4 linked regions of the Arabidopsis thaliana genome follow. The protein of the gene in region 1 interacts with the protein of each later gene in a pairwise test. Each region holds a gene or a part of one and is shown in the gene's direction. Other genes may lie near its edges. The genes, in order: AT1G70030, AT1G19490, AT1G77250 and DAZ1.

Evidence for each region.
Region 2: the proteins of AT1G70030 (region 1) and AT1G19490 interact in a two-hybrid assay, tested with the Arabidopsis thaliana proteins (one large-scale study listed by BioGRID).
Region 3: the proteins of AT1G70030 (region 1) and AT1G77250 interact in a two-hybrid assay, tested with the Arabidopsis thaliana proteins (one large-scale study listed by BioGRID).
Region 4: the proteins of AT1G70030 (region 1) and DAZ1 interact in a two-hybrid assay, tested with the Arabidopsis thaliana proteins (one large-scale study listed by BioGRID).

What each region holds. Positions count from the first base shown.
Region 1 is NC_003070.9:26,375,983-26,383,110, forward strand, and holds AT1G70030 (Paired amphipathic helix (PAH2) superfamily protein), read left to right. Parts: upstream 1-2,658; 5' UTR 2,659-2,850; intron 2,851-2,873; exon of another isoform or gene 2,874-3,202; coding exon of another isoform or gene 3,203-3,235; coding exon 3,236-3,366; intron 3,367-3,460; coding exon 3,461-3,644; coding exon of another isoform or gene 3,645-3,674; exon of another isoform or gene 3,675-3,682; intron 3,683-3,960; coding exon 3,961-4,056; intron 4,057-4,137; coding exon 4,138-4,209; 3' UTR 4,210-4,397; downstream 4,398-7,128. Other genes in the region: AT1G70020 (transmembrane protein, putative (DUF1163)), read left to right, coding at 1,388-1,785, 1,892-2,171; AT1G70040 (transmembrane protein, putative (DUF1163)), read left to right, coding at 5,251-5,555, 5,650-5,926.
Region 2 is NC_003070.9:6,749,302-6,757,509, reverse strand, and holds AT1G19490 (Basic-leucine zipper (bZIP) transcription factor family protein), read left to right. Parts: upstream 1-3,436; 5' UTR 3,437-3,550; coding exon 3,551-3,832; intron 3,833-4,059; coding exon 4,060-4,239; intron 4,240-4,329; coding exon 4,330-4,407; intron 4,408-4,513; coding exon 4,514-4,579; intron 4,580-4,662; coding exon 4,663-4,728; intron 4,729-4,813; coding exon 4,814-5,557; 3' UTR 5,558-5,966; downstream 5,967-8,208. Other genes in the region: RL5 (RAD-like 5), read left to right, coding at 220-494, 1,000-1,027; AT1G19500 (uncharacterized protein), read left to right, coding at 1,974-2,194, 2,537-2,558; AT1G19485 (Transducin/WD40 repeat-like superfamily protein), read right to left, coding at 6,067-6,425, 6,520-6,751, 6,841-6,887, 6,975-7,147, 7,241-7,318, 7,461-7,526, 7,612-7,684, 7,797-7,836 and 1 more.
Region 3 is NC_003070.9:29,017,703-29,026,606, reverse strand, and holds AT1G77250 (RING/FYVE/PHD-type zinc finger family protein), read left to right. Parts: upstream 1-3,132; 5' UTR 3,133-3,275; intron 3,276-3,610; 5' UTR 3,611-3,668; coding exon 3,669-3,923; intron 3,924-4,536; coding exon 4,537-4,839; intron 4,840-5,055; coding exon 5,056-5,145; intron 5,146-5,242; coding exon 5,243-6,163; 3' UTR 6,164-6,431; downstream 6,432-8,904. Other genes in the region: AT1G77260 (S-adenosyl-L-methionine-dependent methyltransferases superfamily protein), read left to right, coding at 1-525, 604-753, 851-1,121, 1,213-1,323, 1,414-1,573, 1,723-1,980, 2,058-2,180, 2,279-2,356 and 1 more; AAE2 (AMP-dependent synthetase and ligase family protein), read left to right, coding at 7,012-8,649; AT1G77230 (Tetratricopeptide repeat (TPR)-like superfamily protein), read right to left, coding at 8,734-8,871.
Region 4 is NC_003071.7:7,473,925-7,480,458, reverse strand, and holds DAZ1 (C2H2-like zinc finger protein), read left to right. Parts: upstream 1-2,775; 5' UTR 2,776-2,811; coding exon 2,812-3,624; 3' UTR 3,625-3,797; downstream 3,798-6,534. Other genes in the region: AT2G17190 (ubiquitin family protein), read left to right, coding at 1-450, 746-948, 1,033-1,146, 1,249-1,304, 1,694-1,722, 1,867-1,956, 2,039-2,187; AT2G17170 (Protein kinase superfamily protein), read right to left, coding at 4,021-4,101, 4,185-4,376, 4,473-4,558, 4,628-4,697, 4,777-4,904, 5,225-5,360, 5,430-5,723; AT2G17160 (Interleukin-1 receptor-associated kinase 4 protein), read right to left, coding at 6,447-6,512. UniProt on the Arabidopsis thaliana protein: Mediates the regulation of male germ cell division by DUO1.

The sequences.
Region 1 (7,128 bases):
AAATAAAAATCTGGGAACAACAATGAATATGAGAAATTTGTTCATCGGTAAAACCTATGTAACTGCAGCGCGTACATTAGAAATCATGGATCTCAAGAACATATCATAGAACCTACGTATAAATTACAATAAGCGTCGATCTCAATAACATTTCATAGAACCATAAGTTTACTTTATTAATTTATATTGTACGGATAATTCGAAATTACTTTTCATAAGAGTAAAGGCATTCCAAAACCTGAAAAAAAAAAACAGTTTTTAGGTCCTTTAAAAGAATTTATAAGTAAGAATTTATAAGTATATCTTATTGTAAAGCACGCGAATATCTTTCTCTTGGAGTTTAATTCGACATACATTACTTAAAAAGTATATACACTATATACATATTCATGTACGTGTGGTGTGTGAGGGAAAGAAAGATAATTAATATATATGTTGGGATACGAGATCAAGTACGAGAAAAGATTAAGGTGTTGATTAGTTGCTTCTAATTGTCATCTTCATGACTAGACCATACTTTGGTATACACAACTGGTTACTTTTAGTTTGAGATGCGGCGGTACGAAAAAAATTAAACAAATTAATGTGTGTTTCAAAATATTAATTATAGAATTCAACACTGTTTTCTTAGTTGATCTCTCTAATGCTACAAAATATTCTGAAGATTATAATATAAGGTGCTACTAAATTATCCATGGTATGATTCGTATATCCAACATTTTTTCTGTATTATTTAGAATTTTTAACAATTAATACTTTCTCCCTAAACAAAGTTTATAAAAATTTCACTCAAGTTTCACTATTGAACGAATTGGTAAACAAAAATAAATGTTTTGGCTATTTAAAAAAAAAAATTGGTGCGGTAAAGAATGGTAAAATTGTAGCGAGGTGATAATAGAAAGTTGTTAAGAAACATCTCAAATTACAGCATCTTGGCCGATAATAAAACTAATATACTATGTTTGATCATCATATGATTTATTTTTCGTTCTAGCCTGCTTCTTTGATTCGTAGCCAAACAAGCTGGAGCACTCCCAAAGTCCCGAGTCTTAACGTTTTATGGCCCATTAACGATCTAAAGCCCAACATAAAGAACCTATTTCTATCCTTTGAGAAGTTTTCTCTGTCCGACGATTCATAGCCAATTAACGCTAAGATTACTATTTGATTTAATCTAAAATATCTTTAGCGAAAAGAAAGTTATTTACCAAAATCTAAAAATTTATATGTAATTATCGAAATCTTTTTAAAAAATTTGATATGTAATTATCGAAATCTTCTTATAAGAACAATATACCAACTCTTTTCTTTAATAACCCTAACAAAAAAAAGATACATAAATCTGGTGCATATACACATCTCTCTATCCGTCTCTCTCTGGGTTTCAATGGATTATGAAAACGGAGAAATAATAGCTCCTAAATCCACCACTTTATGGGATAGACTTACACCACGACAAAAAAAGTATGTGTTCACGTGTGTCTTGGTTTTTTTGATCGCTATCGCAACCGCTGCAATTATCGTTTATGCCTACTCTGAATCAGCACAAGAACGACGTGAAAAACGGCGTAAAGAACAACGTATAGAAAACTATGCACCGGATATTATAATACCATCTATGGATTTCACAGTCCTTAATTTAACCGAGACTAGTCTTAGTGTTAAATGGGATTTAGTGATCAGGCTTCCTTCAGATCTTCCTGGTTACTATATGTGTCTCAAAGGAGATTTGCAGACTTTCATACTTTACAAAGGTGTTACCATTGCTAATTCATCCTTAGACAGGTTACACTTTTTAAAAATTTCAATACTCTTTTTTTTTTTTTTTCTTTAACTAATTTCGTTTGTTCATATATTTTTGTTTGAACTTTTTTGTGTTATGCTCTATCAGTTACAATCTGATACCAAATTGGCCTCAGCTGCTTAATACCTCATCGGTAATTGCTTCTGAGGGAGATATGGACAGTGTTGTTGTGAAAGACATTATGGACGATATAAAGGAAAGAAGAGACATGCGGTTCGGATCGAGGTTGCTTCTTCCGGATTGTAGATCTGGGAGGAAGATGAACTATACGTGTGATGAAACTGCGGTTCGGTTTGAGCCTGGCTCTCAAAGGAAGGCAACTGCGTTTGAAAACGCCGCTCCTATATGCCACTATATTCACACTTAAGTAAAATTTTCATCAATAATGATTTTTATGTTTTAGTTTGCATATGTTGGATCTTCTTCTTTTGCCTTTTGATATCGTAGGAAAGAACTTAAACAACACAATGCGCTTTTGTTTTTTTTTCCTTTGGCTTCAATGGAATATACTTTGTTCTAATGTATTATTATTTTCGTTAATAATTATACTCTCATAGTAAGATACTATTTTTTAAAAAGATTCTATTTAAACATATGGTACTACATCAATATCATAAGTTAATCATTACATCAACTTAAAAAATTTATTTAGTTAGTCTGTTTAACGTACCGAACCGATAATTAAATTTCGAAATCAAATCTACCGATTGGTTTGTATCTAATAACCAAACTAGAACCGATTTGCACAAACTTCGGTTTGGACTTATCAATTTTGTTTTTAATCTGAAGGCCTACTTTTTTCTTTCTATAAATATTGGATAAGACTCATAAAAGTAGTATTTGGTATATTAAGAAAAAGAGTAAAAAATCCATATAAAGGAGAGAAAATCGAATCGTTATGTTAACAAAAAGATTATGTTTAACGTACGTGATATTAAGTATCTTTATATGACTCATGTAGTTATTTATAAACCTAAAACCTTACGACTTTCTTTGTGTCAATTGTCAAGTCTTTTGTATCTTCCTGTAAGCCTGTTACGTGTGAGGTAACGTGTCCATCAATACTTGTGTCCTAGCGAACTTTGATCGATCCTCTTCACTTTGATCCTATCTTGTTTCTATACTGAAATTCTTAGATCAAAATATAGTGTGACATAATCTGAGGAGTAAGTTAGATTCAAATCTTCTGGTCGATAGCTGTAAATTCCCTTGCAATGTTTTCTATGACTCTAATTGCTAGATCTGCGCTGGTTGTATGAATTTTTGGGATAATTTCGATTATTTTTCTTTGAACTTATATATCTTGAATTCGTTTATTGAGATTTAAGACTTGTATTGATTTTCAAAGTTGTTTATATTGGGAGTCGAACATTAATCTATTTTCTCTTCCTCTGGATAATGAAGCACTTGCCAGTTGTCAGTTTCAAAACCATGGTTGCAAATAAGAAGCTAACTACAACCGATGCACTTGATTTCCTCCATCTTGTAAAAACTAAATATCAAGATAATCGTGAAATATATGATAGTTTTCTTACGATCATGAAGGATTTCAGAGGTCAGAGGTATTTTTTTTCTTCTTCTTCCCTCATAATAGTTTCAGCTCTTAGTTATATAAAGTTTTGGTAAACTGTTTTTTTTTTTTTTTACTAATTGTAGAGCTAAAACATGTGACGTCATATCAAAAGTGAAAGAACTCTTCAAAGGGCAACCAGAGCTTCTCTTAGGTTTCAACACATTCTTGCCAACGGGGTTTGAAATAACACTCAGTGATGACGAACTTACGTCAAATTCGAAGTTTGCTCACTTTGACGAAGCATATGAATTTGTCAACAAGGTCAAGGTAGTTGGGCAAAATCATACTAGTAATTAGAGTTTGATTATGATTATTTTGATCCAAAAGATCTAAAATCTAAATAAAAAACAGGTTTAGTCATTTAAATTTAGAGAGATGAATAAACTTGTTTAGATTTTAGTGTTAAAATTTAGGATATCAGATTTATCGTTTTAATTAAGGGTTAGTTTCGGTGTAAATATTTCGGTTTATATCATTTGTATTCTCTATTGCTGTTTATTTTGCAGCCCTACTAGAAATTATATTACTCTTTTCTGTACAATTTTTTTTTTTACTTTTCTCTTAAATATCATTTTTTCTGTAGACAAGATTTCAGAACAATGATGTATTCAACTCATTTTTAGAGGTTTTGAAAACGCATAAAAAGGAAAACAAGAGCGTTGCTGAGCTCTACCAGGAGGTGTATATATATATATGTTTCACTACCTTTTCTTTTTCCATCTTTCTTGTATTGGATTTAATGTAATGTATTATTTTGTAGGTGGCTATCCTTTTTCAAGGCCATCGAGACTTGCTTGAGGAATTTCATCTCTTTCTTCCACATTATGGATGAAGAATGATGAATTATGTATACAATGAAGCCATGCAAGTTGTGGTTCAAAGCCACTTTATCTGCTTCCATTTGACTCAATGGGGATTATCATTAGTTTGTTGCTGAACTGGTAAAACTAGTACTCAATTTTTCAAGTTGTTTTATACTATTTAAACTGAATATTATGGATAATACACAAATTATTTATCAATTTACTTAAGACAATATAATTATGCTTAGTGAGAATGTACCAAACCTTTTTTTTTGGGTTAAAGGTTGCTGCACTAATTAAAAGAACAAACGGCGAATTACAAATTCTCAAATAAACGACAACAAACCCGACACGGTACAAGAAGATAATTTGAACCAAACCATACAAACAAAAGAATATTGCCTAGGTGTTGAGGTGGCTCAACTGTGGAAGCCAAAGCTCTATCAGATGCAATGCTAACAAGAGAGAAGTCGAATGCAGGGAAGAAGCTATCAGATTTTAAAATCCAAGCTGATGCGTTTACTCATTTCATCTTTAATTGTGAGTTATTAATTTTGAAAACCAGACTTTTTTTGTAGGATAAAGAACTTTTACAACTTTTTTTCTATAACCCTTTTAATATATGGTTTTTATTTTACTTTATTTGTCTAAATTTCTTTTCTAATACAGTTACAAACTTTTATATTTTTATCTTAAATATTTCAAAACTTTTAGATTTTATACATGGTGAAATCTGATGATTTAATTGATATTTGTTGCAATCACGAGAGTTAGCAAGTTTGAGATTATTGTTTTGAAATAAGATATGGAGGATAAATTTATTTTAAAAAAGAGAGAGAAAAATGAAAAAATAAGAAAATACTTAATTATTGTTTTGAAATACTTTAATTAATTAAAAACAACTATATCTTTAACTAAATTTTAATAACATATCATATAATTAAGTATAGGTTAAAGTTCATTTTCTTAAAAATTATCTTTCCTTAACAACTATATCTTTATTAAACTGTCTCATCTTCCTTTTGCACTCCAAAATAGTTTCCTCGTTTCTCTTCAATCAATCACTTAGAATGGCAGACGAAGAACTATCTATAGGAGTGCGGATCTTCGTTTCTTTTCTCATAGCCTTTGGTATTTGTGGTCTGGTTTTGTTGATGATAAAAGACAATTCTGGCAAAATCCCGGTGCCGAAAATAGAGTTAGCTTCAATGGATTTCACGGTGCAAAATATTACAATGACTCGTCTTAATGCAAAATGGGATTTGTCGATAAGGATCCCTGATGATCTTCCTGGTAAGTATATATGTCTTCAAGGAGACCTTGAAGCTTCCTTGCTTTACAAGAATGTCACTCTTGCTACCTCATCCCCACAAAAGTAATGAATCTATTTCCTACTATTTTTTAAACCCGTTTTAAATTCCTTAATTCGTTCGTATTTTCAAAACTAATTGAATCTTGTATATGATCAGATACTACAATCTCAAATACTTCAATCCTCAGCTTCTTAAGATTTCAGCTAATGTTTCCGAAGTAGATATTGGCGGTTTGATTGGAAAAAATATTATTAACGATGTCAAAGAGAGGAAAGAAGTACACTTCGGATCGCGATTTTCTCTCACGGATTGTAGAGAAAAAACGACAGGAGTTATGAGTTATGAGTGTGACGAAGCCACCTTGCGGTTCGAGCCAAGCTCTGAGATGAAGGCGACAATGTTTGGGGACCATCCAAACTGCATCAATGTTTGACCAAAGTCCATGTCATCACCATGCCAGTTCATTGTTATATTTTGGCGTCAATGTTAATTTGACTCGGAGAGTGGGGAAACATAAACGAGAGAAGTTGGGTCGTGTAGGTACATAATGGGCCGACAATAACAAACGCTAAAACTAAAATGTGTGAAAATGCCAATATTTGGGCCCAAAAGATAAGAAAACTGGAAAGGAAGTAAAAGTGTACGTAGGATTAATTAAAAAGATAGTGTAAAACAAAGGGGGCATTCGGAGAATTGAACTCCGGACCTCTCGCACCCTAAGCGAGAATCATACCACTAGACCAAATGCCCAATTTGATTGAAGCTTCACTTTGTTGTTAGATAACCATATTCTATGTCACCAAAAATTATCCACATCTACATAGTCATCTTAAGTTTACCTACCTATCAAAATTCAAAAGAGTATTAGCAAAGTCCGACTGACAAACTAAATTTGAACCGACACGAGAGAAATGATTTTTTCATTGGAATTATTTGATTCTTAGAAGTTGAAAACTTACTTTAAACTAGAAAAATTACAAATCACAAAACCACCTTAAAGAACCAAACGACTTAAATGATCCATAATCATATCTACGATCTACCAATATAGCCTATACATGAAATAAAACAGTTCAATAAATAAATAAAACAAAACTGGCAAAATGCTTTCTAGATCATAAAAAGCCTCGAATTTACTAATTGTAGCACATGACATTGATAGTTAAATTCTCCTAACATTCCTATTATACCCACACCATCACCCAAAAATAACAAAATCACCGAACTACACAAACCCGAATTGCAAGGTCCCAAAATAACCAAAATCCAATCCTCTAGCTCTGCTGCGCCCTAATCCCCCAATTAACCTCACCGGCTATAACCGGTTACTCTACCTATAAGCAACCTAGCAACGGCTGTCTCTAAGTTGTATTTCATATTTTTTTCAATTCTTTATTTTCCATCATCGATATATGTTTCTCTACCGTTTTTTATTTATTTATTATTCTTATTATTATTATTTTTATTTTTTTATATTAATCATTTGACTGTTGTTTCCTCTACCGTATTTACTACATTTTTAATATTAATAAACTTTTTTTTAATATGTTTCATAATAATAAATAATATATGGTGATGGAAAAGGTAAAAAATAACAGGGAAAACTTTTTTTTGGTAATTAAGTAAAAAATGGGC
Region 2 (8,208 bases), about 20 Mb from region 1:
GACCCATAAAAAGAACTATAATTCTTTATTTTGGTATACAAACTAAAAAAATATTGGATAAACACTACAACTTGCGGAATCTCTCAACTCTCTTTTCCTCCATATAAGGAGCCTATTTTGGCATTCGTTTGTATTCGTAACTTAGTATCGATCCCTTTTCTTTCTCTTTTCTTGTTTCCCTATATATATCTCATATATTCCCAAAAGAATTTAAATAAAATGGCCTCTAGTTCTATGAGCTCGAGCTCTTCTTGGACGTCTAAGCAAAACAAGATGTTCGAGAGGGCTTTAGCCGTTTACGATAAAGACACTCCCGACCGTTGGCAAAACGTGGCTAAAGCAGTTGGAAGTAAATCTGCAGAGGAAGTTAAACGTCACTACGACATCCTCGTTGAAGATCTCATGAACATCGAACAAGACTTAGTACCTTTGCCTAAATACAAAACCGTCGATGTTGGAAGTAAATCTAGAGGCATCGATGATTTTGATTTGAGGTGAAATCTTTTTGTCCTTACCAAATCTTTTAGAGTTTGTGGTCGTTTTTGTGATTTCTATAGTGATTTAGTAGAAACATATGTTTAGTTCAAATAATTTCAAAATCTGATTATATAAATGAGTTCTTTTGGTAGTAGTATATTAAAACTAGTGATGAACGTTGGACTATATAATAATAATAATATAGGTATAATAATAAGAAACATGCAACCACACGCACCATCCCTTCTATTTCCGGCATTCTCATTAAAAGGAAAGGAGTCACATGAAATCTAATCCTGTTTGTGCACCATCACATGCACATTGTCCTCAACTTTTGAATCTTATATGAATGATATAATGTTATATATGTATATATCTAGCTAATTCTATATTATTCGAATACGATTAAATATAACGGTATATATTAATGCAAAAGTGATTCTGATTTTTCACTGGTCGGTGATCAACAAAAGTGGTATCTTAGTGTCAAGTTATATTAATTAATCTATTGTTTTTTGACAGGTTAATGAAGAATATGAGAATCCAGTGAAGTTGTTACATGATGTGAAGATTGCTATATGTCTAAGGATTCAAAGGGATATGTTTTCTTCTTTCTTATACTGATGAGTGTATCATTCCCTTTTCATTGTGTTTCTTATTTGCTCTGTTTAATCTTATTTCACAACAAATCATCTAGCTATTTTGGTTTTGTTTATTTATAATTCTAATCTATTTTTGTCAAATTCTTATTTTTTTAATTTGTCTATGGACGGGGATTTATCATTATACAGTATAGTTGGTTCACATCTATTCCACCTAGTAAAACAACTGATTTCCATTTCGTAATCTCAATTTCCAAAACTTGTTGAAAATGAGAGTATTTTTACCATTAAAAACGTATACATTGTACCATGATTGAAATCCCAAATGCAAAGACTTGAATATTCCCCTGCAAAATCCTCCAACCAATCATCAGCTGGTTAGCATCTCGATCTAGAGCTTTGATAAATATTTTAACAATCACTTTTGTTTATAAAATAAACTAAAGCTTAAACATCACATGTAATTGCATACATTTATAACGTTTTAAATTTCTTAGAGATAAAGCATTTATAATAAAGTTTAAAAGAAACGAATATCACCAATTCACTATATGGACCCAAAAAAAAAATGAAATCGAAAACCATAAAACTGTTGCTTAATTTGGAACTGGCATGAAACTAAAGCCATCTCACGTCGTACTATTTTCGGCGTAACCACTACCAACGTTGGATCGTTCCACCAGTAAATAAAACCAAATTTTAAATCTCCTTCACATATAAATAAGGAACTTCAAATTAAACCAAACGAAACACGAAAAACACGTACGTAAACAAATAGACTTTTGTTTCTTACAAGCTTAAGACAAATTTACGAGCTACCTCTAGTTATTAAATCATTCTTGTTTTTATAAACCAATAAAAGAAGAAGAAGCAAAAAAGTTTGCCGGAGATAGGATGGCGAAAATATCGGTGGCCGTGCTGTTGTCGGTAATGCTACTTGTCTCGATAAACTCGGTGGATATCTTGGCCGAGGAAGAACCAACGGTTGGGCAGAGGGTAGACTCCGCCATGACGAGTGTCACCGATGCATTCAATGAACACGGCGGCCCACAAGCCGTCGACACCGTATCATCCACCTTCAAATCCGTTTACGGATGGTTCGGTGATAAAGCCAAGTATGTCTACGATTCTTTTGAATATTTTTAATCTTTTTGGTACAAAAATCACTTTTACTATCCCGTAACTTTAATTTTTAGTTCCTACGATACAACACCACAACACAAAAACTGAATCTAAATTCGATATATAGTAACATGATAATTCATACAAAACACCACAGAAACCCATGGCGTTATAAATCTATTTGATGATACCATGATTTCTGTATCTATTTAATAGTAATTTGCCTAGGTTAAACATTAAATTTTTATGATTTTATCAACTGTAAGCACCAATTTTGTTTTAATAATCAATTTCCATAATCCCTCCTTAATATATGATTTGTTATCTTTCTTCAGGGAATGGGGAATCCACTTCTAAAAGGAGGAATGCACAAAATTCTTTTAAGTTGTGGTGTGTTTAATACCAAAAGAGGTCCCAAATCGACTTATGTGTAACTGATTATATTTATTTAATCTTCAATGCATATATATGTAAACGGTAACCCAATCTCTTAAACAAAATGCATTAGCTTGATTATTCCTCTTATCATACCGCATAATTCTCAAGAAATATATGTGCGACAACGTTTAGTTTCACAAGGATGTGGCCATTATCATACATTACTAGGCCCATTTCTATATCCGTTAACATCTATACCAATGTGGCAATGTTCTAAAACTTGCTCTAGAGACTAGGCGGCCATAAACTGTGACAATTATCTATCATGCATGAGCTCTCCAACTAATAAAACCGTAAATCACTATCACAACTATGATTGCGACGGGCCAGTTGTTATTAACCGGCCAATTACCTGGCCCATTTATATGTCCAACAAAGAGGTCTAGAACCAAAATGATTGTGTGTTGGTGGATGCACCCAAAAACCTCAGCCGTAATTATTCACCACTGAATCTCATGGCTCAGACGTCGCCACGTAAATATCCAATAAAACCACCACACGTGTCGCAATCTGAGCAACTCTCAAAACCGACCTTGCAAATCTTAAACTCTGCGCCTCTTCCCAGTTCTGAGGTCGCGGCGGTCCCAATTCTCGGCTTCGCACGCACGAATCAACTCCGCACGTGCCGAGTATGCTGACTTGGTAACAAAAAGCGAGACGTGGCGGTCACAGATACATGGGCTATACTTAAGCAACCAATTGTAGACGATGAGCTGGCATTACACGTGTCGCTCTCTCACCCTCTGTGGGCTCCTCTTTGGCAATTTTTTTCCCACTCTCTCTCTTTCTCGAGAGAAGTTACAGTTTTTCTCTCTCTCTCTCTATAACCTTTTTTTTTTTCTCTTCTGGTTACGTTTTTTTTTTCTTTGTTGGGAAAATCTTTTGGGTTTTGAATTTTTTTTGGTTTGTCGATGGAGTTGGAGCCTATATCATCGAGTTGTTGCTCGTCGTCTTCTTCTTCTTCTGGGGAGGAGAATACTGCGGCGGCGAACATGACGGAGATGGAGGCGGCAGAAGCATTGGCGGATTTAGCGCAGCTTGCGATAATGCGAGAGCAGGTTTTCGAATCTGCAGCGAGTTGGGGAAGTAAAGGGAAACGGGTGAGGAAGCGAGTCAAGACTGAGTCTCCTCCTTCTGACTCGCTTTTGAAACCACCTGACTCTGATACGTTACCTACTCCGGATCTAGCTGAGGTTCTGTCTCTTCGCTTTCCCTATTTTTTTTATTAGTCTGTTTTTTCAAAGAACCTCACTTTCATTGATTCTGTTTTTAGAATTGTGAAACTTTTATGTTTTAGATCCAAATAATCGATTTTGAATAGATAGAAATAGTGATTGCACTGATTAGGTGAATAACATGTTACAATTAGTAAGCTACTGGTAAAACAATCTGATGATAATAAAAGATGTTTCTAAAACAGGAACGATTAGTGAAAGAAGAAGAGGAAGAAGAAGAAGTTGAACCAATAACTAAAGAACTAACTAAAGCTCCGGTTAAATCTGAAATCAATGGTGAAACACCTAAACCAATTCTTGCTTCGACTCTAATAAGGTGTAGTAGATCAAATGGTTGTGGCCGATCAAGACAGAATTTAAGTGAGGTATATGATTATTACAAGGCCAAAAGTTTTGTCTACCATATTTCTTTTTTTGTGACACTTGAACTTACTTTTGCTAATACTAATCTCTAGGCTGAAAGAGAAGAACGTAGAATCAGAAGGATATTAGCTAATAGAGAATCTGCGAGGCAGACAATTCGGCGAAGACAGGTATTGTTTACTGATGCCTTGTTTCTATCAACAAGGTCCATATTGGGAAAATTAGCTGAATAGTAGACTAGTGTTGTTAAGTATTAATTATACCGTATATATCCAGGCAATGTGTGAGGAGTTGAGTAAAAAAGCAGCTGATCTGACATATGAGAATGAGAATTTGAGGAGGGTGAGTAAACTATTCGATTTACGTTTCCATCGAGTGAACCTTAGAGACCGTTGTTATAGCTAATGACATTTCTGCTGTGGTAGGAAAAGGATTGGGCTTTGAAAGAGTTTCAGTCTTTGGAGACGATTAACAAGCATTTAAAGGAACAGGTTACACAATCTATCAAAGACCATATCAGTATCAGGAGCACTATTGCTCACACTGCTATATCTGATTTACCGTCTGTTTTAATAGGTATTGAAGTCAGTAAAACCCGATACAAAAGAGCCTGAAGAATCACCCAAGCCATCACAAGTTGAGATGTCTACATCATCTACTCCGTTTTACTTCTACAACCAGAATCCATATCAGCTTTTCTGCTGGCCTCATGTTACTCAATCATCAAATCCAATGATATCGCCACTTGAATTCCCTACTTCGGGAGGAGCTTCTGCTAAAACTATTACCACGCAGGAGCATGAAAATGCTGCAGATGATAATGGGCAAAAAACTCACTTTTACGTTGTACCTTGCCCTTGGTTTCTCCCTCCTCCTGATCACAGCAATGGTGTTCCTTTCGGGCTTCAAGATACACAAAGAGGTACTTTTTCAAACGGGCACCATATCGATGATTCTTCTGCAAGACCGATGGATGTCACAGAAACTCCGCGGTCCCATCTACCAACTAGAATCAAAGAAGAGGACTCTGGTTCACCCGAAACCAGACCTTTATATGATCTCAACGAATCTGCTACTGAAGTCCTCTCAGAAGGAGGAGATGGATTTCCTGTAACGCAGCAAGCTTATAGTTTAAAGCATGAAGATGTTTCTGAGACAACTAATGGAGTTACACTGATGCCGCCTGGTCATCATGTTTTGATTTCTCTACCGGAGAAAAAGCATGGATCGTTGGCTGCAGCGGAAGCTAGAAAGAGACGGAAAGAACTCACAAGGCTCAAGAACCTCCATGGCCGTCAATGTCGGATGCAGGTCGGATAACTCATATATTCTTCATCTTACCAGTTAAAACACTGAAGGTACTTCATGATCCCTTTCTTTTTGTCCGGGGCATTTTCGCATTGTTTCGGCTTTCTTACATAAACACCAAAACAAAGAGTCATACTCATCCACCAAACAAAAGTTGGATTATTGTTATACTTATCCAAGATTAGTATTCGGGAGTTTCTGGTTTTGTTTTTACAAGGTAATAGCAAATGTTGTACCATTGTAAGATTTAGGGTTATTTGGCACAAAGTTAAAAGTGCCATTTTGTAAGATCATCCGGAATCTGTTTGCTTCTCGCTTGAAGTTCCGTTCCGGTCTTGATCAGTTCTATAACATATTTTCAGGGTTTGTTCCCTTTTTTGACCGCAGAATCAAAAAGTTCTTCAATTGAATCAGTTTCTTGCAAATAATCTTCTTTTAATACAAAATCCTACGTTAATTTTCTTTTTGGAATAAACACTTGAAGATGTTATATAAGTGTATTGTTACAAGGGACTTAATTGTTATCTCCGAGGTTTCCAATCTGAGGTTGGAGCAATCTCTTGACACCGAACAATCCCGGCGGCTCCACCATAACATAACCATCTCTCACTTCCTTTATTCATGTTCCACCGCACACGATGCATCGCCACCATTTTAGGCGGGAACCCTTCTGCTTTCATTCCATTGCTATTGTTGCTAGCTGCTTTTCTTCTTCCTTCTTCTTCTCCGCCATCTTCTTTGACACAGACCAGTGCTCTGCTGTTCTCGTCCTCCTCTGCTCTTGCGTTGTTCTTTCCTTTTTTAGCCTTTGATTTTGCTGCTTTGTTATTTGTTCCTTCGGATTCAGACTCTAAACCTGGATCCTCAACGTGTGCAAAAGCTGAAAAGATCAAGTAAACCAGTTCAAGGTAAGGACTAAGTGATTCCGGAGATTGATCTATTAGACAGTCTAATTTAGACTGGTTTCAACTGACCTAGAGGCTGAACATCTGAAACGTTAGATGCATATCGGCTAGGAGATTCGTTCAAGAGACTTCGAAGGCATCTCTGTTTTTCACCGGTCTCACCAACTGGTTTCTTCAATACGATCGGGATGTCTGGAACTGGACTATGCACTATGAAGGTGGAATCTTTCATTGTCAACTGTCCACAGAGATAGTGTGGAGTCCGATTTCTCGTGTCTTTTTCCACTGCTTTGGTCGTAAGCTGTAAGGAATCCCAACAAGACAAAATGAAATCTCAAAGAAATTGACAAAGAACATAAGAGGTGAAGTAATTGTGCAGTTTATGCAAACCTCGAAATGGAAAATGGACCCATCTGCAGTGCAATACGCTGCTATGCCTGAGAAGTTATATTTTGACTTATTTATTATGATGAACCGATGATTACGAATTTGAACACAAAGACAAGCCCATAAAGAACATTTACCTGTTAGCCTTGATACTTGAATACTCCAGATGGGAAAAGTTGAACAGTTATAAACGCTTAACCCTTGCTGTTTTGTATTAGGATAAGGCCTTCCAGTAGCAGGAACATCATACGCAACCTTCACCAAGCTTAGGATTCTTAATGTTCCATCATCAAAGGACAATAGAACGCAGCTACAGATATTTGAAACCACATGTTTAAGCAGGACTTCAAACCATTGATCTAAAGACTGTATAATCAACTGAGGATAGAACAGTGATTGATACCTTGGATCTTGTAACCAATCAAGGCTGTAAATAAACCTTGGTACTGGGTGCAAATCCCACAGAGGACGGAACGGATCACTGCAGAAAAAACATAGGAAGTAAGCAAGAAGCTATGGAGAGCCAAATAAAAGAATAAACAGTGCAGTCTTGTTAATTAATTGCATGAGCATCAAAGTTTAAAGAAAATTATGTAATAGCTGATAAGGTTAATGAAGTGTACCGTAAGTCCCAAAACTTCAGACCAGCATGTCCAGCAGTTGCTACTATGTTTGCACTTTCCTGATCACTGGAAAACTTTCAGAAATTACTTTTGATTAATAAGCGAATCCTCTTCACAGTTTGATTTTATGGGTGTGATTTTACGTCACTACCTTTCACCAGGAGCCCATGCAACTGCCCTAATAGGAGCTGTATCTGCGCTGAAGAAAAGTAAAGGTCTTGTATCTGCACAAAAAAACGTGAAAGGTAAATATGAAATCAACAGATGAAATCACTTTCTCTGGCCACCGTGTGAAAAGAAACTATCTGGCATCAGGACAAACATATCAGGTCTTACCTTCTGAAGATTTGGTTGTAGAAAACTTCCAGAGAGCAACCTGATGCAAGATAACAAAAATAAAGGGGTCAACGCAATTAAGCACTGCAATTCTTGTTCCTGAATACATTTACACATATGCAAGAAAACAGAGACAAAAATATGATAGAGTCAGTGAAGAAAGTGAAATAATTTACTAATTACCGTGCCATCGTGGCAACCAGCCAGTAAGAAATCAGGGTTCCCTAAAGTCGACCATTCAACTGTCAAAGGAATACTGTATAAAAATAGAGGAGCACCATATCAAGAGAAAGCCAATAGATAAAGCATAAGGAAACTGAAAATCAATTATATATTCAACTCTTAAAAACATAGAAGGACTGCTTTGTTTTTCATTCCACCAAACAAGCAAAAACTGGAAATATTGAAGAAA
Region 3 (8,904 bases), 2.6 Mb from region 1:
CTCTTCAATCACTTCTCAGATTCCTTCTCTTATCCATCTCTTCCTTTTCCCATCTCCTCTTCTTCAAACGTCACCGAAGCTATTCAAACCAACATAACATCCGTCGCGGCGGTGGCACCATCTCCTCCACCGCGTCCTCGTCTCAAAATATCACCTCCTCCGCTTCCACCGACAGTGGTGAGAACAGGTATCATCAACGAGAATGGTGCCATGTCTGATTCCTTCGAAATCGGCGGATTCGATCCAGATTCCATCGACGAGCTTAAATCAGCCACCGGAAATTCGTCGGTTGAGGAAAAAGAATCGCCGGAAGTCGGTTTTCAGATTGAGAAACTCAAATTGTGTGACAAGACGAAGATAGATTACATTCCTTGCTTAGACAACGAAGAAGAGATAAAGAGATTGAACAATACAGATCGAGGAGAAAATTACGAGAGACATTGTCCTAAACAGAGCTTAGATTGCTTGATTCCACCTCCAGATGGTTATAAGAAACCAATCCAATGGCCACAGAGCAGAGACAAGGTGAAATAGTGTGATCAAGTTCTTACCTTTATCTAAGCCTTAAGTGTAAAGTCACTAACTTTGATTTGTGCTTTGTAGATATGGTTCAATAATGTGCCTCATACACGTTTAGTGGAAGATAAAGGAGGTCAAAATTGGATTAGAAGAGAGAAAGATAAGTTTGTTTTCCCTGGAGGTGGAACTCAATTCATCCATGGAGCTGATCAGTACTTAGACCAGATCTCCCAGGTTTGTTTTTTGATTCTTCCTACCTGTTTTTTTGGTGTATTGGCTAATCTGTTTTTTTTTGTGTTGATCTTATATTCTCTTAGATTGAAATTTGCAGATGATTCCTGATATTACATTTGGATCACGCACCCGTGTTGCTTTGGACATTGGCTGTGGTGTGGCGAGCTTTGGTGCGTTTTTGATGCAGCGTAACACGACAACCTTGTCTGTAGCACCAAAAGATGTTCATGAGAATCAGATACAGTTTGCATTGGAGCGTGGTGTTCCTGCGATGGTGGCTGTCTTTGCCACACGGAGGTTGTTGTATCCAAGCCAGTCTTTTGAGATGATTCATTGTTCCAGATGCAGAATTAATTGGACACGCGATGGTTAATTTCTGGCTTTTTGCTTCTCCTCTAATGTTATTTGAGCTTTAGCATAGTAAGTGACTACAGCATTTTGTTTCTATGAATTACACAGATGGGATACTTCTTCTTGAAGTTAATAGAATGCTTAGAGCAGGAGGCTACTTTGTTTGGGCTGCACAACCCGTTTACAAACATGAGGATAACTTGCAAGAGCAGTGGAAAGGTTTGTATATTATTCAACAAAATAATTTGTCTGCTATGGAGTTTAACTAAAATATGGGTGTTGCTTCTGCGCTTTGATTATCTTTTTCAGAAATGTTAGACCTTACGAATCGAATCTGTTGGGAGCTTATCAAGAAAGAGGGATATATTGCTGTGTGGAGGAAGCCTCTAAACAACAGCTGCTATGTCAGTCGCGAAGCTGGAACAAAACCTCCTTTGTGCAGACCTGATGATGATCCTGATGATGTTTGGTACATATATGCATCTGAAAATCTAGTTTCTTTTTAATAGTTTTGAGCCTTCTTGCATAGACATTATATGATAGAACCACCAAATTCTCAGCTTTTCAATTAAAACTTTCTAAAAATCTCAACTTTGTGGTTATGGTTTCCTGTTCCAGGTATGTAGATATGAAACCGTGCATCACCCGATTACCTGATAATGGCTATGGGGCTAATGTCTCCACATGGCCTGCACGTCTTCATGATCCGCCAGAGAGGCTACAAAGCATTCAAATGGATGCGTACATATCCCGAAAGGAAATTATGAAGGCAGAGTCTAGATTTTGGTTAGAAGTAGTAGAGAGTTATGTGCGGGTTTTCCGCTGGAAGGAGTTCAAACTGAGGAATGTTCTGGACATGAGAGCTGGTTTTGGAGGGTAACCATCAATCACACCCTTTTTTTGTTTCTGCCTTACCAAAGTTTATTTGATCTAGTATTTCTTGATTTTGGTAGGTTTGCAGCAGCATTAAACGATCTGGGGCTTGACTGTTGGGTTATGAACATTGTTCCCGTTAGCGGATTCAACACCTTGCCAGTTATTTATGACCGTGGACTACAAGGGGCTATGCACGACTGGTACAGACTGATAACCTTCTGCTCTTTTGCTTCTAATCCCACATAACTTTAACTTACACAAGATCACATTTAAAGCTTTTTTCACTTACTTCCTCTAGGTGTGAGCCATTTGACACCTACCCAAGAACCTATGATCTGATACATGCTGCATTTCTCTTCTCTGTTGAGAAAAAGAGGTAAAAAGATTTAAACTTCGTTTTTCTTTTTATCCTGAATCCAAAAATAAAGGTCAGGAACTTGATTGGGGTAATGAATTGTGGAACATAGGTGCAACATAACAAACATTATGCTGGAGATGGACCGGATGTTGAGACCAGGAGGACATGTTTACATAAGGGATTCACTGTCTTTGATGGACCAACTTCAGCAAGTGGCTAAAGCCATCGGTTGGACTGCTGGTGTTCATGATACCGGGGAAGGACCCCACGCAAGCGTTAGGATTCTCATCTGCGATAAACGGATATGAGGAAAAGAAAAAGAAAAGATACGAAATCGAATGTGATGATAAGTCTGCTCAAAGCGACAGTTCTTCTTAGTGATAAATTGATAATTGTATTATTGTTTATTTGTTTGTTGATTTGATTGTTGAAGAATGAAGAGTGTTAATACACTTGAGCTACTTTAACACATGAGTAACAAAAAGATTCATTTTCTCAGACAAAAAAAAACAGAGAGAAGTGTGAAATAAAGAAACAGAGAATGGTGGGTGTCTTTCAGTTATAACCGTTGGATTGCTAAAGTTGAGATCCGACGGTTGTGACTCTTTGATCAGGGAATAACTAAAAGCACGTGCACATCACGAATCTGTTACTGTGGTGGACTCCGTCACCGTGAGTCTCCGGCGCGGTTTTTATTACTACTTCCACGTGTCAGTTTCGCGTCACTGATTACCGGTTTTGACCGGTTTCAGATCCAAGTTGAAAAATATACCGGTTAAGGGACGCGGAAGTTTAAAAATGATTCAAAGATAAGAAAGGCCGGGATTTACAGAACCACCGGCGAGTCTTAATCTCCGAGAGCCGGTAAATCAATCCTCTTCCTCAAATTTCTAGGGTTTGCTCTTCGTCGGTTCTTTACGCAGATTTCTTCACACTGGTACGGTTTTACTCTCTTTTTCCCTCTTGTCGGTTTTTTCGCTAGAGGTTTGAATTTGGATTTAGCTTTGTTCCGTCTTTTGTAGTGTCTAGATAAAGCTCCATTGAAGTTTCCGTATCTAGAAATTCGTTGTTTTCTGATGAAATTATGGTAGAGAAGTCTTCAATTTCATCGCTTTTTGTTGGAATGATATTGTTTTTTCTAATTTCTAGATGGTTTATTTGGTGATAAAATCGAAGACATTTTGATAGTTTGTTACCAATGGTCAACATTTCCATATGAGATTTCGTTTGTGGGTTATATAAGGACTCAAGTTTCTGTTTTGTCTATTGTAGGATGGAAGATTGGTGAAACCCTAGCTCCACTGTGTGAGGATCAAAACATTTGTTTAAGATGTTCATGGAGGAGGCGACAAGTAATGGTAAAGGTACAGAGCATAATCAGCCAAATGGTTTGGTGGAAAGTGAAGCATTGAATAATTGGAGTGCAGGATGTGGTGCTATGGCTAATTCTGCAAATGCTAGTTCCAGAGATAGTAAGAAGATACAAACATATAAGCGGAGAAAACTTGGGAGATCTTATTCTGCTAATAAATGTTCGGAAAATGATAGATTTTCCATGGAAGGTGTTAGTCACTCAGAAAGCCGGGTACTTTTCATGCCTTTTTCTATTATGGTACCACCTCTTGTTGTGATTGGTTTTAAAATGCTGGAGTATATGTAGTTGCTAGCATTTTGCAACTTTCGCTCACCTCAGTTGTTATATGTTTTGTGAATTTAGTTTATTGGTTTATTTTAGAGCCTTGGCTAAGTAATGTATATTAGGATCTCTATAAATCTAGTGATGGTTGGGTAGTTGCTTCAATAGTGAATATTGGGCCTCAATTACTCAGCATGTTGCTGAGGGAGCTAAAGAGAAGGGTCATTTCTGCTTATATTCGTATGGCTATTCAAGTAACAATTTTGCGATTATATATCTGTTCCCTTCATTTTGTTCAGGCTACATTGGTGTCTAGTGTGTGATAGCTATGTTTCAGGAAACGCTTTGCAAATAGTAGTAAAATCCATATGTGCTGTTAATACTGTGCTTATTGAAAACCTGACTAGAGTTTGCTAAATCATGCATTCATTCCTGAACTTCGTCTCAGGTTATATTTGTGTGATCAACTCATGTGTTCATGATTTACTTTCATGAATATGCTCCTAAAACATGTTAGCTCTTTCTTGTTTTGGATTAATTTTTTCATTAAATTTCTTCACAGGAGTCTGTCTCTTATGAAAGGTTTAGCATAAGAACCCATCTTACTGGTGAACTCCCGAAGCCTCCCAGTCCAAATAAACCATCAAGTGAATCCACCAATCATGAGACGGTGACAGCCGGTTGCCAGCATGTTCTGTCCCATGTTTTAGCTTCAAAGGAGTTTGCATCCCTAAATAGGTTACTTTCCGAAAATCTTCAAGGGGTCAAGATTGATGATTTTACGAGCAGAACTCTGATAGACACCAGGATGAAAGAGGGTGTTTATGAAGGTTCACCTCTGCTCTTTTCAACGGATCTCCAAGAGGTAATTAGTGGAAATCATGCTTAGTCTAAGATAAATATGCATGAAAACAGATTATCATGTCTTTCTTATTCTTTTCATTGTGAAAAATATAGTCTGATGCCGTAGTTCGGAAGCTGAACACAAACTCTTAGCTTGACGAATGTGGTTGTGTTTTCAGTACATATTATGCATTAGATTGAAGGTAGACATAGAACTAAACCTAACTACTGATTTCAGGTCTGGCAAAAAATGCAGGATGTTGGTAATGATATGGCTGTTCTTGCTAATAGTCTCTTAGAGCTTTCAAGAACCTCCTATAAGGAACAGGTGAGGGTCAGGCATAAATGATCTTCTTCAAGGTGCTATCTTATTATAACTTTATCCATCAATCCTCTAATATCTTCTTTATTTCAAAATCTGGAAGTTGAAGCAGTTCTACACTGGGGAATCGAAGCCTTGTCCTAATGCAGAGAACATCAGAAATGACAGTGTTTCTGACATTTGCAAGCTATGTGGAGAGAAGGCAGAGGCAAGAGACTGTTTAGCATGTGATCATTGTGAAGATATGTACCATGTCTCGTGTGCACAACCTGGTGGGAAAGGGATGCCAACACACAGTTGGTATTGTCTAGACTGTACATCTAAGGGAATCGGATCACCTCATGAGAATTGTGTAGTGTGTGAAAAAATGAAAACCCAAGGGATGATGAAGACAGATAACAGATCTGTTGATACGAGTACAGAATGCAAAGAGGATTCGAACGAATCTGAAGAGAATTCAAGCTGTAACATGAATCATGAGGTGCACCACGTAGAGATGAGTAGAGATTCTGAACTCTGTAGGACCTGTGGAACAAAGGTGGATAGTGGCGGAAAGTATATAACATGTGATCACCCTTTTTGCCCACACAAGTATTACCACATCAGGTGCTTGACTTCAAGGCAAATAAAACTACACGGTGTCCGTTGGTATTGCTCGTCATGCTTATGCAGAAATTGCCTAACTGACAAGGATGATGATAAAATCGTCTTGTGTGATGGGTGTGATGATGCATATCACATCTATTGCATGCGACCTCCATGTGAATCGGTTCCAAATGGAGAATGGTTTTGCACAGCATGTAAAGCTGCAATTCTTAAAGTCCAAAAAGCACGAAAGGCTTTTGAGAAGAAGATGGAGACGGTGCAGAAACAGAAAGGAATAAAACCCAAGAATCTCCAAGGCAAACCGCAAAGTAAAGACAATGGAGAATTGGATCAAAGCGTAGGAGGAATGGACATGCTTCTAAACGCAGCTGACACACTGAAAGATGAAGAACAGATGACATTCCAATCCATCAAATGAAGGATTGGATTGATAAGCAAACAAGCAAAATACAGCTTCTTGTCTCATCTACCTAACTTTCAACACTTTAATATTTGATTCTTCTCCACAAATTTGTTTTCGTTTGGTTGCTAACTTTTGAAAGCAAGACAAAGGATTCTGAAGGGTAAACCTTCTTCTAAGAGTAAATTCTTTTCATCAACAGTGCCCTTTTGATCTGCTGATTTTGCACTTTGTTTAACATTATAATGAACTGATTCTTGACCAAAGAGATGATGCTTCATCGGATAATTTTCTTATAAATTTAATCTATTCTACAATATCTTACGAGTAAAAACTCAAACAACAACAAAAAAAAGCTTAATGAGTATTATTGTTACGAGGCCGACCAACCATAGACCGTAAGGGTATATATAACATGTGATTAATTCATCGAACAAGATAAGATTTTAACTAAAATATTTACAGTAGTTAAATAACATAAGATTTCACTTATTACTATTAGATGTTCAAATCAATCAAAATAAATCTCTCAATCTTTCTTGTTTTGGGGGCAAACAATCGATCAATCTTTTTCTATAATCGGTATTATCCACTTCAATAGATGGTTCAATACTTAGATAATTGAAAAAAATGACCGTTGAGCCCAAAAAAAGAAAAAAGTATTAGCCAAGAAGCCTAAGCTAATTAGTTGTTGAGCCCAAAAAAAGAGAAATGTATTACCCAAGCAGCCTAAGTTCAAAATAAAATATTTCAAGTTAATGATTTCTGTTCTACCTAAGCACATCGGGAAAAATATATAATTCATTTCACCAATGCACCATCAGAAGTTGAAAACATAACAAAAGAAAAAATCAATACATTCGACTATGGAACTTTTACTCCCACACGCTTCAAACTCATGTCCTCTCACTGTTCTTGGCTTCTTAGAACGAGCCGCCTCTGTCTTCGGCGACTCTCCTTCACTCCTCCACACAACCACTGTTCATACTTGGTCTGAAACTCATTCTCGATGTCTCCGTATAGCTTCAACTCTCTCTTCCGCTTCCCTCGGAATCAACCGCGGCCAAGTTGTCTCTGTTATTGGTCCAAACGTCCCATCTGTCTACGAGCTTCAGTTCGCAGTTCCGATGTCAGGCGCAGTCCTCAACAACATCAACCCACGTTTAGACGCTCATGCACTCTCCGTCCTTCTACGTCACAGCGAATCCAAGCTCGTGTTTGTTGACCATCACTCAAGCTCTTTAGTCCTCGAAGCTGTCTCGTTTTTGCCCAAGGATGAGAGACCTCGTCTCGTCATACTCAACGACGGAAACGACATGCCATCATCTTCATCAGCTGATATGGATTTTCTTGACACGTACGAAGGGTTTATGGAGAGAGGAGACCTGAGGTTCAAGTGGGTACGTCCTAAAAGCGAGTGGACTCCAATGGTGCTTAACTACACCTCAGGAACTACGTCGTCCCCAAAGGGAGTGGTGCATAGCCACAGATCGGTTTTCATGAGCACTATTAACTCTTTGCTAGACTGGTCTTTGCCTAACCGTCCGGTATACCTGTGGACACTGCCGATGTTCCATGCCAATGGTTGGAGCTACACATGGGCCACAGCAGCTGTGGGAGCCAGAAACATCTGTGTCACAAGAGTTGATGTGCCGACTATTTTCAACTTGATCGACAAGTATCAAGTGACCCACATGTGCGCTGCGCCAATGGTTCTCAACATGTTGACTAATCACCCAGCCCAGAAACCGCTTCAGAGCCCAGTTAAGGTTATGACTGCTGGAGCTCCACCACCAGCTACAGTCATCTCCAAGGCTGAGGCGCTTGGTTTCGACGTGAGTCACGGTTACGGGATGACAGAAACAGGCGGTCTGGTTGTCTCGTGCGCATTGAAGCCTGAGTGGGATCGTCTAGAACCAGACGAGAGAGCAAAACAGAAATCAAGGCAAGGAATTAGAACTGCAGTATTCGCGGAAGTCGATGTTAGAGACCCAATATCCGGGAAGAGCGTGAAGCATGATGGAGCAACTGTGGGAGAGATCGTCTTCAGAGGCGGTTCGGTCATGCTAGGTTATTACAAAGACCCAGAAGGCACCGCAGCAAGTATGAGAGAAGACGGATGGTTCTACACCGGAGACATTGGAGTAATGCACCCAGACGGTTACTTGGAAGTCAAAGACAGATCAAAGGATGTGGTCATTTGCGGAGGAGAGAACATCAGCAGCACGGAACTCGAGGCAGTTCTGTACACAAACCCCGCAATTAAGGAAGCAGCTGTGGTGGCTAAGCCAGACAAGATGTGGGGAGAAACTCCATGTGCATTTGTCAGCCTGAAGTATCATGACGGGTCTGTGACTGAGAGAGAGATACGGGAGTTTTGTAAAACCAAGCTGCCAAAGTATATGGTTCCAAGGAATGTGGTTTTCCTGGAAGAGCTTCCAAAGACTTCTACTGGAAAGATTCAAAAGTTTCTTCTCAGACAAATGGCTAAGTCCTTGCCTTGATGAAGAACGTTCTTGCTTTGTTGTTATTATTATATTGTACTCTACAAATTTCTTCTCTACACCACAGTACAAGTCTCTGGTTCATTAGTTTGGCTCTATGTTCTTGTCGTTGACCACAAATCGTGTAGTGTCGGTGTCCTGTCCTGATGTCTGAAGCTGTTCTCTCTTCTTTATTAGTTGTTTTGCACTTTTAAGATCGTCTTTAGCCTCTCTGGAATCCGCCTGTGTAATGGTAATAACACGAATTAAGATCTC
Region 4 (6,534 bases), on another chromosome or scaffold:
AGAATCTTATGAACAACCCAGAATTTATGAGGAGTATGATTATGAATAACCCTCAAATGCGTGAGCTTGTAGATCGCAATCCTGAGCTTGGTCATGTGCTCAATGACCCAAGCATCCTTCGTCAAACTCTAGAAGCGGCGAGAAACCCAGAGCTTATGCGTGAAATGATGAGAAATACTGATAGGGCTATGAGTAATATTGAGTCTATGCCTGAGGGATTTAACATGCTTAGGCGTATGTATGAAAATGTCCAGGAACCGTTAATGAATGCTACCACTATGTCCGAGAATGCTGGAAACAATACGAGCTCTAATCCATTTGCTGCTCTTCTGGGAAACCAGGGGGTTACTACACAAGGAAGCGATACTTCTAATAATATTTCGGCACCGAATGCTGAAACGGGTACACCTAATGCAAATCCACTTCCTAATCCTTGGGGTGCCACGGCTGGTAAGAAACTGTATTCTCATCCTCTTAATTTCATATGGGATTTTACTTGTAGTTTAAGGTTGAAATATTAAATATAAAAGCAAGAGTGGCTTGTTTTTAAGAAGTGAAAGTTTATGTTTACCACACTGGTCAGGAATAGTATTGATTATAGTAATAATTGGTGAGTTCATGTTCTCACAGTTTGTTGTTATGACTAGTTTGTCTATGAATAAGTTTCTTGGCTGTTTGTTTCTAGTTTAACTGTTACTCGTAATGCACTAAAGATTTTAGAACATATTGTGGGGCTACTTGACAGGCCAGACAACTGCCCCTGGAAGGACAAATGCTGGACTTGGTGGTCTTGGTGGGCTTGGAGGCCTTGGTGGACTCGGTATGCTGGGAGCGGACTCACCTCTTGGTGCGACTCCAGATGCTTCTCAATTGAGCCAAATACTGCAAAACCCCGCTATGTCGCAGATGATGCAAAGCGTACTTTCCAATCCACAGTACATGAATCAGGTAGCGCCTTCAGTAATCTGAATTTTAGACATTGTAGCTATTGTGAGGCTGTCTTTAATATTTTAATATTTCCTTCATTTCCAGCTTATGAGTCTTAACCCACAACTCCGAAGCATGCTAGATATGAATCCTCAGTTGAGGGAAATGATGCAGAACCCTGATTTCCTTCGCCAGTTTAGCTCTCCCGAGATGATGCAGGTTAGTTGGGCCCATGTTGTCTCTCCAGATAATTATTTTTATATCATTCAGTAGTCAAATTTCTCCGACCTAATGTTTTCTATTGTTTTTTGGTCTTTTTAGCAAATGATGTCTCTACAACAATCACTTTTCTCTCAGAATAGGAACACGGCTGGCCAGTAAGTTTGGATACCCTTTTCTGTTTTCTTTAGTTGGAACATTAGTTGAGTAGGTAATGTCCTTTATATATCATAATAGGATTTTGGGTTGATCTGTGTTTAGAAAATAGTGTCACTAGCTAACCAGGTAATTCTCTCGGTGGTGAACTATCTTATATTAAGTAATAAATGGGTTGAATCATTAGTAATGCAGCAACTCTTGTATGTTTTACTGGGCTGATCATTAGTGACCTTTATCAACGGCTGTAAAGTATTTTAGTCCTTGAAATAAACTTGAATAGGAGCATAAAAATTTTCGTTCTTTTTTGGTTCTTTCCTTTAACATTTGATATCAGTGATCTTGATTTCCATCAACCTCTATTCATGTTCCCAATCCATCTTCTTTGTAGGGATCCTACGCAAACTGGTGCTGCGACAGGTACTATATTATCTGTAATTGAAGTATGAAGGCTTCAACTAGTTCACTTAGACAGTGTGCTTTTTTTTGTTCTTTTGCTTTACTTTAATCGTATATTCATTACGTTGCTTATTGAGTAAATCACTACTATGGAAATATTTATAGGGACAGCCAATAACGGAGGACTAGATTTATTGATGAATATGTTTGGCAGCCTTGGTGCTGGCGGCCTAAGTGGCACAAACCAACCCAATGGTTAGATTCACTAGGGGCTATACTTTGATTTCTTATATATCTATTGAGATGGTTCCACTGAAACATGTCTATTTGATTCCAGTTCCTCCTGAAGAGCGATTTGCGACTCAGTTGCAACAGTTGCAAGAAATGGGATTCTACGACAGAGCAGAGAACATAAGGGCTTTGCTTGCAACCAATGGTAACGTTAACGCTGCTGTAGAACGACTCTTGGGGAGTATTGGCCAGTAACATACAGGTTCGTGAACTGATATCACTCCACTCTGGCTTCTCAATTATAGAATAAACAATGTGTTTTCTTTCAGTAATCTAATTTATGGAATTCGTATAACTACATTTATGATAGGATCGCGAACTTGTGGATAGAAAAGCCGCTCATCGATACACTATTTGTTTTCAATGGTCATCTTCTTTCCTCTTTACCCAATCCCCACAACCTTTTTTACATACTTTGGGTCGTCTGTTATCTTTCAGATTCTATTTGAAGTTGTTACCTCGTACATCTGTAGAAGTTGATTTCGAAATGTGGAATGGTTACATTTACGTTTTCTTATCTCCATTTTACTTATTAAATATAGCTGTAGTGACGTTGATAATTTGTGATTGAGCGTTAAGTTTTTCATTCGAATAACAAAGATAAATACAATAATAATTGAAAGAAAAACAAAACTTATGAGGAAAACAAAAAAAGAAATGTAAATCCGACAAAACAGGGAGAAGTAACTGCTAAGAAACCGTCGATGAAAACTAACTTGTTCTTCTTCTACTTAACCAACCATAACTCCCACTCTTCTACTTTTTTTTTTCCTCTCTTTTAGTTTTTCTGTCTTCTCTCTAGTAAGAGACTCAATAATAATGTCGAACACTTCAAACTCCGATCCCAATTCCGATATCCCATTTGCTTCCTCCAATGTAACTCTTCCTAGTTACAATCAAAACCCAAGAAGAAAACGTACTAAACTCACCAACAACGAAGTCGGTTCTTCTTCGTCTTCTCCAAGGCCTAAACCGGTCACGCAACCGGACCCTGATGCTTCACAAATCGCACGACCATGTACTGAATGTGGTAAACAATTCGGGTCACTGAAGGCACTCTTTGGACACATGAGATGTCACCCTGAACGTCAGTGGCGTGGCATCAACCCTCCTTCTAACTTCAAACGTAGGATCAACTCAAACGCTGCGTCATCATCCTCGAGTTGGGATCCATCTGAGGAAGAGCATAACATAGCCTCCTGTTTACTAATGATGGCTAATGGTGATGTCCCAACCCGTTCAAGTGAAGTTGAGGAACGGTTTGAGTGTGATGGTTGTAAGAAAGTGTTTGGGTCACATCAAGCGTTAGGCGGACATAGAGCAACACATAAAGACGTCAAAGGATGTTTCGCCAATAAAAACATAACCGAAGATCCTCCTCCTCCACCTCCTCAAGAGATCGTTGATCAAGATAAGGGCAAGAGTGTGAAGTTGGTCTCGGGGATGAATCATCGATGTAACATCTGTTCTAGAGTGTTCTCCAGTGGTCAAGCGTTAGGAGGTCACATGAGATGTCATTGGGAGAAAGATCAGGAAGAGAACCAAGTCAGGGGCATTGATCTTAATGTTCCTGCGGCGACATCTTCAGACACAACGTTAGGTTGTTCCTTGGATCTTAGGTTAGGACTTTGATATATGATAACTTAAGGTTTTATATATTTATTGGGTATTTGGTTCTTTCTCTTAATTAACAAAAAACTCTCTCTGTATATATGTGTGATACTTTGTATGATGAACGTATAGGATTGTGGTATTGTATTCTATATATAAGTTAATTAGTTTATGAAATGCAAATAGAGTTATTTACTAAATGTCCAATATTCAAGAAATTAGCTTTATGAAGTTTAAAACGTTGAATCTTTTTCCCTATGTAAAAAGTTTATATTGTTTGATCATACATGTATATGTATCATGCATGGATTATGGTGTTTCTTCACAGTGTCAGTACACTAAGTGAGAAAATCAAGATTCTTCTTCCCTAAAAATGTTGCTTCGAGAAGAGTTACTTTGTTGAAGCTATTAGCAGATTCAGGGTGGAAGTTGTTGTTGACTCGAAGATGATGCCACATCGTGCTGCTTTGTTACTTCATGCATTTCAGAAGATGAAATCTACAAGCAAAAAGATTTGGTTTTATAACATGAATGCGAAAAATCTTCAGGGATGAAATTATTGTAACAGTAAGCCTCCTTACTTCTTTTTTAGCCTGCAAGGCTTTAAGTGTTGCAACAAGCTTTTTAGTGATGCCATTCTCTATATAACCCTTCCACTGCAAACATTCAGAGGCGAGTTTTAAAACTATAGTAGCTTCTTCTGTAGAGAACTTTCCCTTCAGATTTGGATCCATGAGCTCAGTGACATCCTTTCCATTGATCATCTCAGGAGCCTAGAAACAGAGGATAAATAACCACTCAGTAAAATGTAACTTGTGTTGCAAGAAACCAAGGATTCCACAAAGTCAAGCTTGAACAGAATTACTTACATGGCTCGGAGAAATTTGCAATCCAGTTAGCAGATTCACAAGGATAGTACCAAATCTGTATGTCACATTCCCAGTCCTCACGTTCCCTACAATGAGAATATAAAACATTACATTCTGATATGAATAGTCTGAAGATACAAGAGCGAATTGGTTACCTCCTTCTCTTCGATTGTAACGGATGATCTCTTTCACCAAGCCGAAACTAGAAAGACAGGCATCACCATCCTTCAACACCAGTAAAAACAGTTTAGCATCCTTAGATCACATGACAAGGCATAGGCATGAAAAATGTTGTTTAACATACCTTATCAAACAGAACAGTGTAAGCACTTAGATTATCGTACTCGTCAAAACGTACAGAATTGCAATAATCCAATGCTTCAACTATATGATACGCCACTCGCAACCTCATTGACCATTCCATGTTCTTCTCTGTGCATCACAAAAGAAAAAAGAAACCTCAAACAGAGAATGCTAATAAGTTCTGTTTCAATCAATTCTACAAGCAGATACATTTACACCATTCTATAGCATGTCACATAAACCAACAACAATGCACTCTCTCTATCTTCAGATACGTTTATACCATTCTACACCCACAATCATGCCACAAAAACCAACAATGCAGCCTCTCTGCCAAGATTCAAAACAGAGCACATACATCTATAGAACAGATCGACTAACAATCCAGACTCTTAAGCTCATATTCACCAATTCTATATCTGAAAACGAAAGAAGAGAAGGAATCATACCCTGGAATAAACGCTTAGCAAGAGTATCATTTGGCATAAACTCTGCAACAAGAAGTCCTTCATCTTCCTCGCAGCAATATCCCAACAACTTGACAAGTCTCTTGTGCTTTAGCTCCCCAGCTGTTTTTGCGTCTTCCTGAAGAAACAAAAGAGATCAAATGAACGTTGCAAACTTTGATAACCTTTAAAAGCAAAGAAAAGGTACCGTGAAGTAGTCAGGATCATCCCAAGGCGTATTCTTGAATCTCTTGACAGCTACGAAGCCAAGATTCTCTAATAAACAACCTTTGTAGACAACATTGGAAGATTCTTCTGCGTTCTCTGATATGATCTCGTCGGAACTGAAGTTATTGGTCGCCGTGGTGATATCGGAGAGGAAGAACTCTGTGACAGGCCAGTTGACGAATCCGTCGTTCTTGCGTTCGCCGGGAGGAATCTGTGGCTGTTGTGGAGGTTGTTGATTGTTATCAAGAGGCGTCGAGAAGCAACAACCACCCATGGTTTCGTTTTCGCCGGCAAAAGCAGAGAGAATATTGAAAGCGTTCTTTGCGAGAGAGAAAGAGAAAGAGATTGTTATCACTAACAAGTGAGTTTACACAAAGGAAAGAACCTTTTATAACAGACTATTATCCCTAAAATCTAAACTCAAGATTACGCAATCTTTATCGTTGATCTTCATCTTCTAGTTATTATTATAGTTTTTTGTTATATATTTTCCTTGTTTTTTCACTAGTGGGTCAAAATTATATTTTCATATTTAGGAAGTTTGAAATTGCATGGTGGTGTGACAAGTGGATTTCAAAGGTGTATGATATTTTTTTTGGTTAATTATTTGAAAACTTTTTTAGTAGAATTATAGTTTTGCTAGTGATATTGTTAATTAATGAGATAAATTCATTTGAACCCTTTAACAAAAAGAAGAGAGAAATGTATACGTATTTTTTTTAATATATAACAAGGGTAAAAGATATCACTTCTTTTTTATATTTTTTAACATAAACTCAAGATTCTTCTTCCCTAACCATGCATGTTGTTGGATCTCTTTGCTTCGAGAAGTGTTGCTTTGTTAAAGCTACTAGCAGATTCAGTGTGGAAGATGATTCTTCTGCTTAAATTTTCCATATTAGAAGATGGAACCTGCAAGCAAGATGATGATGATCTGTTTTTTAGTACGAAAACTCATAAAGAATTCATTAAGGGTAACAATAAGTCCTATTCTTACTTATGCTTTAGTTTGACTTGAAGATGATGCCTCCAGATTCTGCTTTGTCATTTCAGAAGTTGGAATCTGCAAACAAAAGATCGGTTTT